Linked DNA regions of Callithrix jacchus. The protein of the gene in region 2 interacts with the protein of the main gene of each other region in a pairwise test. Links are inferred from orthologs where the notes say so. Each region holds a gene or a part of one and is shown on either strand. Other genes may lie near its edges.

Region 1 (4,007 bases), on a different chromosome or scaffold from region 2:
CCAGATGAGGGCCTCACACCCTATTGTATAGATTGGAAAACTAAGTGGGCAGTCCCCTTGGACAGGGGGCAGGGCAAGATCCTGAGCACTGCCCCTCCTCCACCAGCTGAGGGACTATGGGGAGGAGGAGCACCAGCAATGAGCTGGGTTGGGAGGAGCCATTTGCAGCCCTCCAGTGTGGCGACTAGAAGCAAGTCTCCTTGGACGTGCAGGGGAGGAAACTGAGGCACAGACATAATTTATCCAGTTGTTTTTCTTGGTGGGGGACAGAGTCTGGCTCTGTTGCACAGGCTGGAGTGCAGTGATCTCAGCTCACTGCAACTTCCACTGCCCCATTCAAGTGATTCTCTGCCTCAGCCTCCGGAGTAGCTGGGATTATAAATGGGCCACCACACCCGGCTAATTTTTGTATTTTTAGTAGAGACGGGGTTTCACCATGTTGGCCAGGCTGGTCTCCAACTCCTGACCTCAGGTGATCCATCCACCTCAGCCTCCCAAAATGCTGGGATTACAGGCATGAGCCATGGAGCTCAGCAATTTACCCAGTTTTGAAGCACATCAAGAGGGAGTGGAAGGCCAGTCAGTCTGACCCATAGTGGGTGGGCCTATTCTTTCAGATACTGTTTCCCCACGTGTGAGCTGAGGGCGTGGCCAGGGAGCCCGATTTGTTTGGAGCTGGAACCCAGGCTTGGCAAACAGCAAGCACTAGACCAATCATCAATCAATGAATGAGCTGAATGCTACAGCGGAGCCTGTAATCCCAGTTCATGGAGGATCGCTTGAGGCCAGGAGTTCCAGACCAGCCAGCACGACATAGACCCAGTCTCTAACTCTAAAAATAAAAATTTAAAAAAATTAGCAGGGCATGGTGGTGCAGCCTGTAGTCCCAGCTACTTGAGAGAGGCAAGAGGATGTGATATAGCCACACCCTATCTCAAAAAAAAAAAAAAAGTGAATGAAAGTGGGGAGGCACCCCCTGACTCCCTGCCCCACCAGTTCTCTCCCCACAGATCCAGGGACTCAGTTTCCCCACCATGTCAGATTCAGCCGCGGGTGACTACACAGGGCATTCTGGGCGGGGCCTTGAATGCAGGGCCAGCGCCATCTGTTTACCTTGAGGCTGGACGCTGGGCAGGGCTGCGGTGGGCCGTCCCTGGGGCCGGCCGTGCCTTGGGGATAAATAGGCCCCGTGGGCCTCGTGGGCGGTAGACAACGCCCCGCCACCGCCATGGTCCCCGCCACAGCCTGCGTTCTTCTGTTCACCATGGCTGCCCTCGGCGTGTCTGGCCAGGGCCAGATCCCTTCGGGTAAGCCGCGTTAGCACCCGCGCCGTGGCCACCGCCCCAAATGGACTGCAGGACCCGTGAGAGGCCCGGGGTCCAGGCTGTTTGGGGGCTCACGGACTGTTCACAGGGGACGTGCGGGGCACAGAAAGCAGGTGGCGGGACCGAGGCTGGACGAGCGGAGTGGGGCGTCGGGTCCAGTGTCCGGGTCCGCTGCGGCGGTGGGAGTTGGTGGTGGGGTTCCCCTGCCCCATGACGCCTCACAGGTCCCCTGTCGCCGCAGGCTCAGACTTGGGCCCGCAGATGCTGCGGGAACTACGGGAAACAAACGCGGCGCTGCAGGACGTGCGAGAGCTGCTGCGGCAGCAGGTGCGGGGCCGGGTGCGGGGCAGGGAGTGCGGGGGAGCGGAAGGGGGTCTCGGTTCCCATCCAGGGGAGAGGAAGTCCCTGGAGGGCAGAGGGGAGCTGGGGAGGGAAGGGGGTCTGTGGGTAGGGAGTCCCCGGTGAAAAGAGGCGGTGGAAAGAGAATCCGGGGCAGAGAGAGGGGAGACCCGAGGGACCAGGAGAGGTTGGGACCCCACTGATTCCACCCCACCCCTGCAGGTCAGGGAGATCACGTTCCTGAAAAACACGGTGATGGAGTGTGACGCATGCGGTGAGCGGGCCGGGAGAAGAGATGGGGAGACAGAGACACAGAGAGACAGAGAGCGAGGGAAAGCTGGGGACAAAAAGAGACGGAAGGAGATCGAGGCTGACAGAGGTGGAGGGAGACGAACGGGAATGAGGGGGAAGGAACAGAGACAAAAAGAGACAGAGGCGGTGCGAGAGTTTTGGGGAAGTGAGAGACGCCGCGGGGCAGGAAAGAGCAACAGAGACTCAAAGAGAGACCAGGGAAAGAGTGCAAGCAGAGCGCCCAGCCCCGCCGGGGAGGGATCGCTGAGAGCTCCGAATTTCGGACCGCCCTCGGGGCGGGGGCTAGGGGTAGGGGGAGAACTTCCAGCCCCCGGGCGTGGCTACGACCAGCCCCACCACGTTCCCCCTGCAGGGATGCAGCAGTCCGTGCTCACCGGCCCCCCGAGCGTGCGGCCCCTGCTCAGCTGCGCTCCTGGCTTCTGCTTCCCCGGCGTGGCCTGCATCCAGACCGAGAGCGGCGCGCGCTGCGGCCCCTGCCCCGCGGGCTTCACCGGCAATGGCTCGCACTGCACCGACATCAACGAGGTGCGCCGGCCCCGACACCCCACCGCGCTGACGACCCCCTCTACCGCCCCCCAATCTCTCGCTGTCCCGGAGACCCCTTGCTCCACTTGGGGTGCTCGCCCCGACAACCCTCTCACCTCCGGGGGCACACGGCCGGGCGATCTCCCTACCGCTGGGGGACGCCCACCCGGAGGACGATCCACGCCACCACCCAGGACGCCCGCCCCCACGACCCTCTCCATAGCTAGTGACGCCCGCCCCGACGACTCCCACACCGCCAGGGGTGGTCGGCCCTAGCTACCCTACTCGCCGCAGGGAGTCGCCAGTCCCAACGACCCTTCCATAGCCGGGGAACGCACGCCCGGACGACACCGCCACCGCAGGGCCCGCACGCCCAGATGATCCCTGCCCCCCTGTGCTGGGGATGCGCACCCTCATCCTTCCTCCCCTCGCCCATGAGGGAACAGCCCCTGGAGGCGCCCTCTCTTCTCCTCTCCCGGTTGCACCCTTGCCATCAAGACAAAGTCGCATCTGACCCCTGCGACAATTGCTTCCATCTCGCGTGGAGCACAGCTCCAAGCGCTGGCTGATGACTCTTGAACTTTCCAAATCCGAAACACTCCGAGGTGTGGCCCCCAGGGCCCAGCTCGAAGCTCTCTGACCCTCCGTGGCCCCTCCTCCCCCAGTGCAGCGCCCACCCCTGCTTCCCCCGCGTCCGCTGTATCAACACCAGCCCGGGATTCCGCTGCGAGGCTTGCCCGCCGGGGTACAGCGGCCCCACCCACGAGGGCGTGGGGCTGGCTTTCGCCAAGACCAACAAGCAGGTGAGGGGTGTGGGGGCCCCATTTCTGCAGCAGAAGGGAAGGGGGCGTCCATTTTGTTTACTAGTAAACGCCTCCTCCAGCCTCACGCACTTTTTCCAGCTTTCTACCAGCGGGCGGGACGGAGAGAGGAGGGTCCGCTGCGCCAGGGCTTATCGGTTGAGGGCAGGATGGAGGGGAGAAGGCAGGATGTGGAGGAAGCGTGGACCAGGTGGGAGGTCCGAGGTATCTGCGTGGGGTGGTGGCCTCTGAGATTCCCCTCCCCTAGGTTTGCACGGACATCAACGAGTGTGAGACCGGGCAACACAACTGCGTCCCCAACTCCGTGTGCATCAACACCCGGGTAAGTCCCGCCGGGGAGGAAGGACAGATCGCGGGAGGTGGGGCGAGGGGCCGGCGGCCTGCGCTGACCTCCAGCGGCTCGGGCGCAGGGCTCCTTCCAGTGCGGCCCGTGCCAGCCCGGCTTCGTGGGCGACCAGGCGTCCGGCTGCCAGAGGCGCGCGCAGCGCTTCTGCCCCGACGGCTCTCCCAGCGAGTGCCACGAGCATGCGGACTGCGTCCTGGAGCGCGATGGCTCGCGGTCGTGCGTGGTGAGTGCGGGCTGGCCGGGCGCGAGGCGGGCTTGGGGGGCGGCCACGCCGGGGCACCCACTTACTGTCTCTCGCAGTGTGCCGTCGGCTGGGCAGGCAACGGGATCCTCTGTGGC
Region 2 (2,231 bases):
GCGTGTGGGTGGTGATGATGGTGGCCAGCCATGGAGGAGGGTGCCATGGGGCTGAGCTGGTGCGGGTGGTGATGCGAGTGCATGGGCGCTAGGTACGAGCTGCAGTCCACGCCGCCAAAGTAGGAAGAGGAGGGCGTAGGGTAGCCTTGGCCGTAGCTGCCGCCCTGGCCGTAGGACATGGGGTAAGAGGCTGCTGCGGTGGCGGCGCCTGCAGCTACCGAGCGCTGCATACACGAGGCGTTGCTAGGCGCGGCCAAGGGCTCCGGCACTGACACGGACGCGGGCGCTGAGCCTGGTGAGATGGAGGCCGGGCTCCAGATTGATGAGGCTGCGGGTGTACTCAGCGACGACGCGGCGGCCACTGCCGGATTCCCGCCTAGTCCCGCAGCCGCTGCAGCCGCTGGGTTAGCAGAAGAGCTGGATGCCGAGCTAGAGGACGAGGCAGAGCTGGACACAGCTGGCGGCGTGAATTGGCCACTACTTTCGGAGCCCGAGCTCTCCCGCACTGGAGAAGACTTCTTCTTGGCTGGGCGGCTCTTGGTTCCGCTCCCGCTCTGCTGCTGCTGGCGGCATTTGGCGCGGCGGTTCTTGAACCAGACCTGCAGTGGGCCGGATGGGAGAGAGTGGGTCAAGGGGGGCGAGGGGAGCTTGCTGCTCCCCCGCCCCTAGTACCCTACTCCCCGCCCAGAATCTCGCAACCCTTTTCCACCGAGGCCTCCGCCCCTTCCTGCCTCAGGGGTGGCCAGACCCTGCCCCCCACCTCGGTTCCCAGCTCCTCCACCCTCCTCCATCCTTCTGCTTAAAGCCCTTCCTCAGCTGGCTCCAAAGTAGGGATGTGCACCTCCCCACCCCTACCGCAACTCTGCCCTAGGGCAGAATATTTGAGTCTGTCCAGCCAGAAGTTCTGCCATCTCTAAATTGCTGCTGTTGGCTGCTTACGTGTATGTTTGGAGGCCCAGTTTTCTAATAGAGCTCAGGCAACAGCGGAGAGGTACAAAACAGAAGAGTGTAGAACAGTTACCAAGTCTAGGGCCAGAGCCGTTTTACTGAGCAACTCCTGGAGGCCAGAACTGGGCAGGGCAAGTATTTGGGTGGGAGTAGGAGCAAGGCTAGAGGCTAAACAGAGGCAATAGTTGAGGGACTCGGGAAGGAAGCCTGGGTGAGATTTCGTTGGGTCTTTGGCTCCAGCTGGGGAACCAAATGGAATGGTCCCTCTTCTGGGAGAGTCCCAGCACATGGCGCTGCATTCCTGGTTCCCCTTCTCAAGCCTTCGAGTAAAGGAGGCGAGACAAAAGGCTCTTGAGGAGAGTTCGGAGTTAGAATCTGAGCATTATCATCAGAACCCTTTCATCTCAAAAACAGAAATAAGAAAGCCGGTAGCAGGGTTTTGCACTTGGCGTCCTTTGTAAGCAGAGGAAGCGTCTAATGAAACCCAGGCAGAGCACCAGGCTCTGGCCAGTCTCCGTTCTTTCATTTCTAGGATTCCCAGGGTGCAACCCAAGAGCAGAGGCAGAATTCAGGCCTCTGAGGGAAACTGCCAAGTCCTGGGTCAGGCGAAGAAGCAGGGGCAAGTGTCAGGCCCGCAGGGTGCTTTACTTTCGGGAGCCTCCCTGGTCCTCCTGCAATTCTAAAAAGGACTTTCAATACCAATACCTAAGGCGTCCTAGGGCTAAGGGCGGAATCTAGGGCTCTAAGCCATTTCCCTTAACTTTTGCCCCCTTTCCTGGCTGGGGCCCAGCGCTAGGGGGAGTCCGAGAGGGGCTGCCCAGTCTGTCAGCCCACCCCTGCAGGCCGGTCTCCTTCAGAACTCCCCAGGAGCCTTCCGAGACCTTCCCCGAGCAGCCACAGCGCCCCTACCCAGACCCTGGAGCCTGGGGAGTGCGGACCTGGACTCTGGACTCCGGCAGGTTGATCTTGAGGGCCACCTCCTCCCGCATGAAGATGTCAGGGTAGCGAGTCTTGGCGAAGAGCGCCTCGAGCACGTCCAGCTGTGAACGCGTGAAGGTGGTGCGCTCCCGCCGCTGCTTCCGCGGAGTGGCTGTGGGGACAGGCGGGGGCGCCGCGGGTCATTGGTGGCCACGCGGACCAGGGATAGTGAACTCTGGGAAGCCCCTGGCAGGTTCATAGCTCGGCCTTCTCAAGAGAAGCCGAACTGGGAATAAAAGAAACTCCCTCCGGCGGCCGAGCCTGAGAGGCCACAGGTGGGAGAAAGTGCTTATGTGCGACTAGGA
Region 3 (3,962 bases), on a different chromosome or scaffold from region 2:
GTAAAACTAAAGTCAATCACTGTTATGTTTGACAATGGCAGTTCTAATTTCTTAGTACTGTTTTATACCTGTTTCTCAAAGTGGAAAACTGTACCTGAGGAGGATAATAATAAAAGCTAGTATCTAGTGAACATAGTACCACACACTGCAATAAATTTTTTTCATGTACTACTATCTCATTTAATCCTTAATAATCTTAAAAGGTATGGACTCTAACTATCCCCGTCTCAACTAAAGGCCATAAATAAATAATTTACCCAGGAAGTGGCTGAGATAGATTTTAACCCATGACCTAGAACCAAGATAAATGGGAGGAGAAGGAAGTTGTTGAGAAGATCAGAGATTTAACTCCCAAGGTAGAAAGGCATACTGTTTACTGACAGCAGATAATCCCTCCCTATAACCTGGAATAGTTTTCAACTTTGGCTACACATTAGACTTACCTGTGAGATTCTATTATTTATTTACTTATTATTTTAATTATCCATGTCTAGGACCCTCATTTAGTGCTTGGCCTTCAACAGGCCTGGGGTGGAGCAAAGGCAAGGGTCTTTTTTAAAGCCACTCAGGATTCTAAGGAACAGCTAAATTTGAAAACCACTAATAATTCTTTTCTATCCTATCAGCCTCTCCAAGTAGCCAACTACAGTCAAGTTTACTGATTACCTATTTGGTTCTGAGTACTTTGCCCACTATTACATTTTCCACTTACCCAACAAAGTGCTTTTCTTCTCCTTAACAGAGGAAACAATACAACTACAGTACCGCCTTTTTAAACGACAAAATTCTGCTAGCTTTTCTTTGACATGAGGAATGTAGTGGGAAGGAAAGATGGCATGACAAAGTTTGGAAATAATTTCTTTAAGCATCTACATACTCCTTAGGCTTAAAACAATGCAAAAACATCCTAAAAGTCAAAATAAAAGCAAATGGTAGGTTATGAGTTCTGTGATATATGTTAAAAGTTTAATATTCATGATATTTGGTTATATTTCTCAAGCTGGTAATGATAGAACACTTAGAAAGAGTCATGGTGGTGATAAATTCCACTGTCCTGTCATGGTGCTATGACAGCAATTATGCAGTGCCCTGTTAAGTCACCTGAATATAAACTAACAGGTGCCAAAGAAATCAAAGCATTACATAAGTATACCCAAACGACAATATGACTGGTCATATCATGTAAGAAATGCAATTATTTTGCTGACAAACTTATATGAGAAGTCTTACTGTTTCCCTAAGTTATTCACAGCACATCCCACTCACTGTTCGCCAAAATATAAAGAAGACTGTTCCAGACATTCTGCAACTTGCTGGCCCTTTTGTTTTACTGAAAAGGGGAAGAAGTACAGAGATATCTGACAAGTATGGAAGTTTGATCTATGACTTGAACAAGAGATCTAAAATGAGAGAGTATCAATATATCAGGTGGTACAAAACTGTGGACTTCACAGAGAAACATTACAAAACTTCCTACTTCCGGACAGCTCATTATTTGGTTCAAGTCTTCACATTCCTTTATTTGTCACGGCCTTTCCGAAAGCTCTCCTTCCTTATGGTTTAATACTAGACTTTTAATGTTACTAGTGGGACTTACAGGGACTCTTAACACATTAAGAAGCTCCAAGTTCATGCCCCAAGGAGGAACTTTGGGACTACAATTTTCCCTCAGTAACCTGAGCAGAGTGTATGTCCCTCACGTAGATTTTTTTTTTAATTTGTCGAAAACATACTTCTTTCTGCATATCTTAAATTTGTATTCAACTATATATTTTTATCACGTACAATTACAAGAACTTGCGTTAGTTCTGCGGAAATTAACTCTGTGGAAGAAGAACTGGAAGACCTGTGAGTATGTGTGAAATAGACACGACAGGAGCCTCGTTGCCAATTGTCACTGGGGTCTCACACGGCCCAGATCTGGCCTGTGAGCCATGTCACCGGGTGCAAAGGCACAGAGAACCACAGGAAAACTGGGCGAGAAAACAAGGAGGCTCCCTGTCAATACCCGTACTTCCACCCTGAAGCTAGCTGAAGGGTGGCCTGCAGGGCAGACCCTAATGAAAACCCATGCCTACTGGGATCATCACATCGCCGGGCCTGTACGGCCTGCTAAAGGGGTGTGTGGAGGAGAAAGGACAGCGTCCGTCCCCACTTCGGAGACCCAAACAAATGAAAATAAGGCAAGTTCTTACTTCCTGGTCGCCTACTCTTTCCGAAGGCCACCGACACCAGACGGACACCGACGAAAGGGGACTCCCATGGAGTAACGGGGCCCACCCCAGCCCCGCACCTCCCGCCCTCGCCCTTCTCCGGGCCTTACACGGTGACGTGACCGGAGCCGCGGACCACCACCGGGTCCGGCGAGTACTTGAGCAGCTGCTCCTCCAGGGCCCGCTCCTCGTCCTCCTCTTCCTCATAGATCTCGTCGAAATCCGCCATCCTGAGCCTCCGAGCGCCCTTGCCCAAAGGGGCCTGACTCCCGGGGTTGGCGCCGGGGTACGGGCGGGCGAGGCGGCGGAGGCTGAGGGGAGTCGCCGCTGCCGCCGGCTCCGAGGCCGCGGAGTTCCCTTTCTGATGTCTTGGCTCCGGCTACAGAGGAGACGGCGTCTGGACCATCGCCGCTACCGCCGCCGCCATTACTATCAGCAATAACAACAACACAATGTCAACATCCGCCCAGGGGCCGACACATCCACCAGCACAGCCGCCGCTGCCGCCGCCGCCGCAGCAGCAGCAACTCAGGCAACCACAGCAACAGCCAGAGCCACCCGCAGCGGGAGCAGCCGGCTACGGCATCGCGAGACTTCCCGGGCGTGCGGACGGGCGGGCGCGTGCGTGGGCGCGTGGGCGAGTGGGCGCTCGGGCGGGCGGGCGCGCGCGCGCACATGAAGCCTCGCGCGCTCCCAGGCCTCCGTCTTTCCTCCGCTACCACCCGCCGACGGTGCATGGGGCGCGCGCTCCCGCCAGCGCGGCCCCGCTCGCCGGCTCCGGAGTCGCGGACCCGGGGGGCGGCGGCTCTACTGACTAGAGGCTGCAACCCCACGACTCAGACAACGCAGCTCAGAGTGTCCACTGGGACATGCAGTTCCCCAAAGTCATCTCTAACCCAAACAAACAATTGAAAAGAAAAGCCCTGGCTGGAATCGACACATTTTTGTGCGTGTCATTGCCAGTTTATCTGATAATCGCATCTCGCTTTTCCTCAGGTTTTCAGTCTATGATGAGTACCAGAGTCTCTTTTTTCCCAGTTGGAGGAGCGCAGCAGAGACATTGCGAACATTTGTGTCCACTGTAGGATTTTCCAAGACGCCTCCAATTTCAAACATCTTGTCCCTTAATCCCCTTAAGTATAATCCAATATATGAGTCCAGTGATGCTGGTATTTTTTTGCCTTACAAGAAATCTCACCATAGTCATGCTATGAAAAAGCTGATAAACTACCTGGATTCCATATTAGAAGATGCAGTAACCTGTTTCTTTCCTTAAAACCTTAGGGAATTCCTTTTCTTACCAGCTCCTCCCACAGAAAAGACCTTGGAAGAAAGGGAGAAAGAAAAGGAAGCAGGAAGGAGAAAGGATAGGACGAGAAGAAGGAAAGAAGAAAGGGGGAGAGAAAAAAGGAAGGAGGGGAGGCTGGAAGGAAAAGGTTTAATGGAGTCTACTTATCTGCCTAGTAAGGGCTGAAGGGTCACTTTGGGTACTTGGTTTCATTAAGCATACAAACAGTCCAGGAGCAGGAGTGGATTTCTGAGAAGAGAGTCCTGGACAGTGAGGATACACCATGGGAGAAGAAAGGATAATTCTACTGAGCCCAGCACTGGTCACACTATTCTCCAAGTGAGGCAGTGTTTATGTCACAGTAATTGGCTTTATAGATGGGTCAATGCTAACATGGAGAAAGTCCAAAGGAGGTCAATGAAGACAGTGAGAAATGCCAACCTCCTATCGGTAACTGAAGG

What was found.
Region 1: the proteins of OTX1 (region 2) and COMP interact in binary tests that used the Homo sapiens proteins (3 or more experiments, as listed by UniProt). The two-hybrid records come from large-scale screens. The link is inferred for Callithrix jacchus from reciprocal best matches to the Homo sapiens genes OTX1 and COMP.
Region 3: the proteins of OTX1 (region 2) and CHIC2 interact in binary tests that used the Homo sapiens proteins (3 or more experiments, as listed by UniProt). The two-hybrid records come from large-scale screens. The link is inferred for Callithrix jacchus from reciprocal best matches to the Homo sapiens genes OTX1 and CHIC2.

Annotation. Positions count from the first base shown.
Region 1 is NC_133523.1:17,495,903-17,499,909, reverse strand, and holds the start of COMP (cartilage oligomeric matrix protein), read left to right. Parts: upstream 1-1,207; 5' UTR 1,208-1,228; coding exon 1,229-1,307; intron 1,308-1,566; coding exon 1,567-1,652; intron 1,653-1,886; coding exon 1,887-1,938; intron 1,939-2,328; coding exon 2,329-2,501; intron 2,502-3,166; coding exon 3,167-3,304; intron 3,305-3,569; coding exon 3,570-3,644; intron 3,645-3,732; coding exon 3,733-3,891; intron 3,892-3,968; coding exon 3,969-4,007. UniProt on the Homo sapiens protein: Plays a role in the structural integrity of cartilage via its interaction with other extracellular matrix proteins such as the collagens and fibronectin.
Region 2 is NC_133515.1:51,063,952-51,066,182, forward strand, and holds part of OTX1 (homeobox protein OTX1), read right to left. Parts: intron 2,039-2,231; coding exon 1,887-2,038; intron 600-1,886; coding exon 1-599. UniProt on the Homo sapiens protein: Probably plays a role in the development of the brain and the sense organs. Can bind to the BCD target sequence (BTS): 5'-TCTAATCCC-3'.
Region 3 is NC_133504.1:142,680,000-142,683,961, reverse strand, and holds the start of CHIC2 (cysteine-rich hydrophobic domain-containing protein 2), read right to left. Parts: upstream 2,801-3,962; 5' UTR 2,443-2,800; coding exon 2,324-2,442; intron 1-2,323.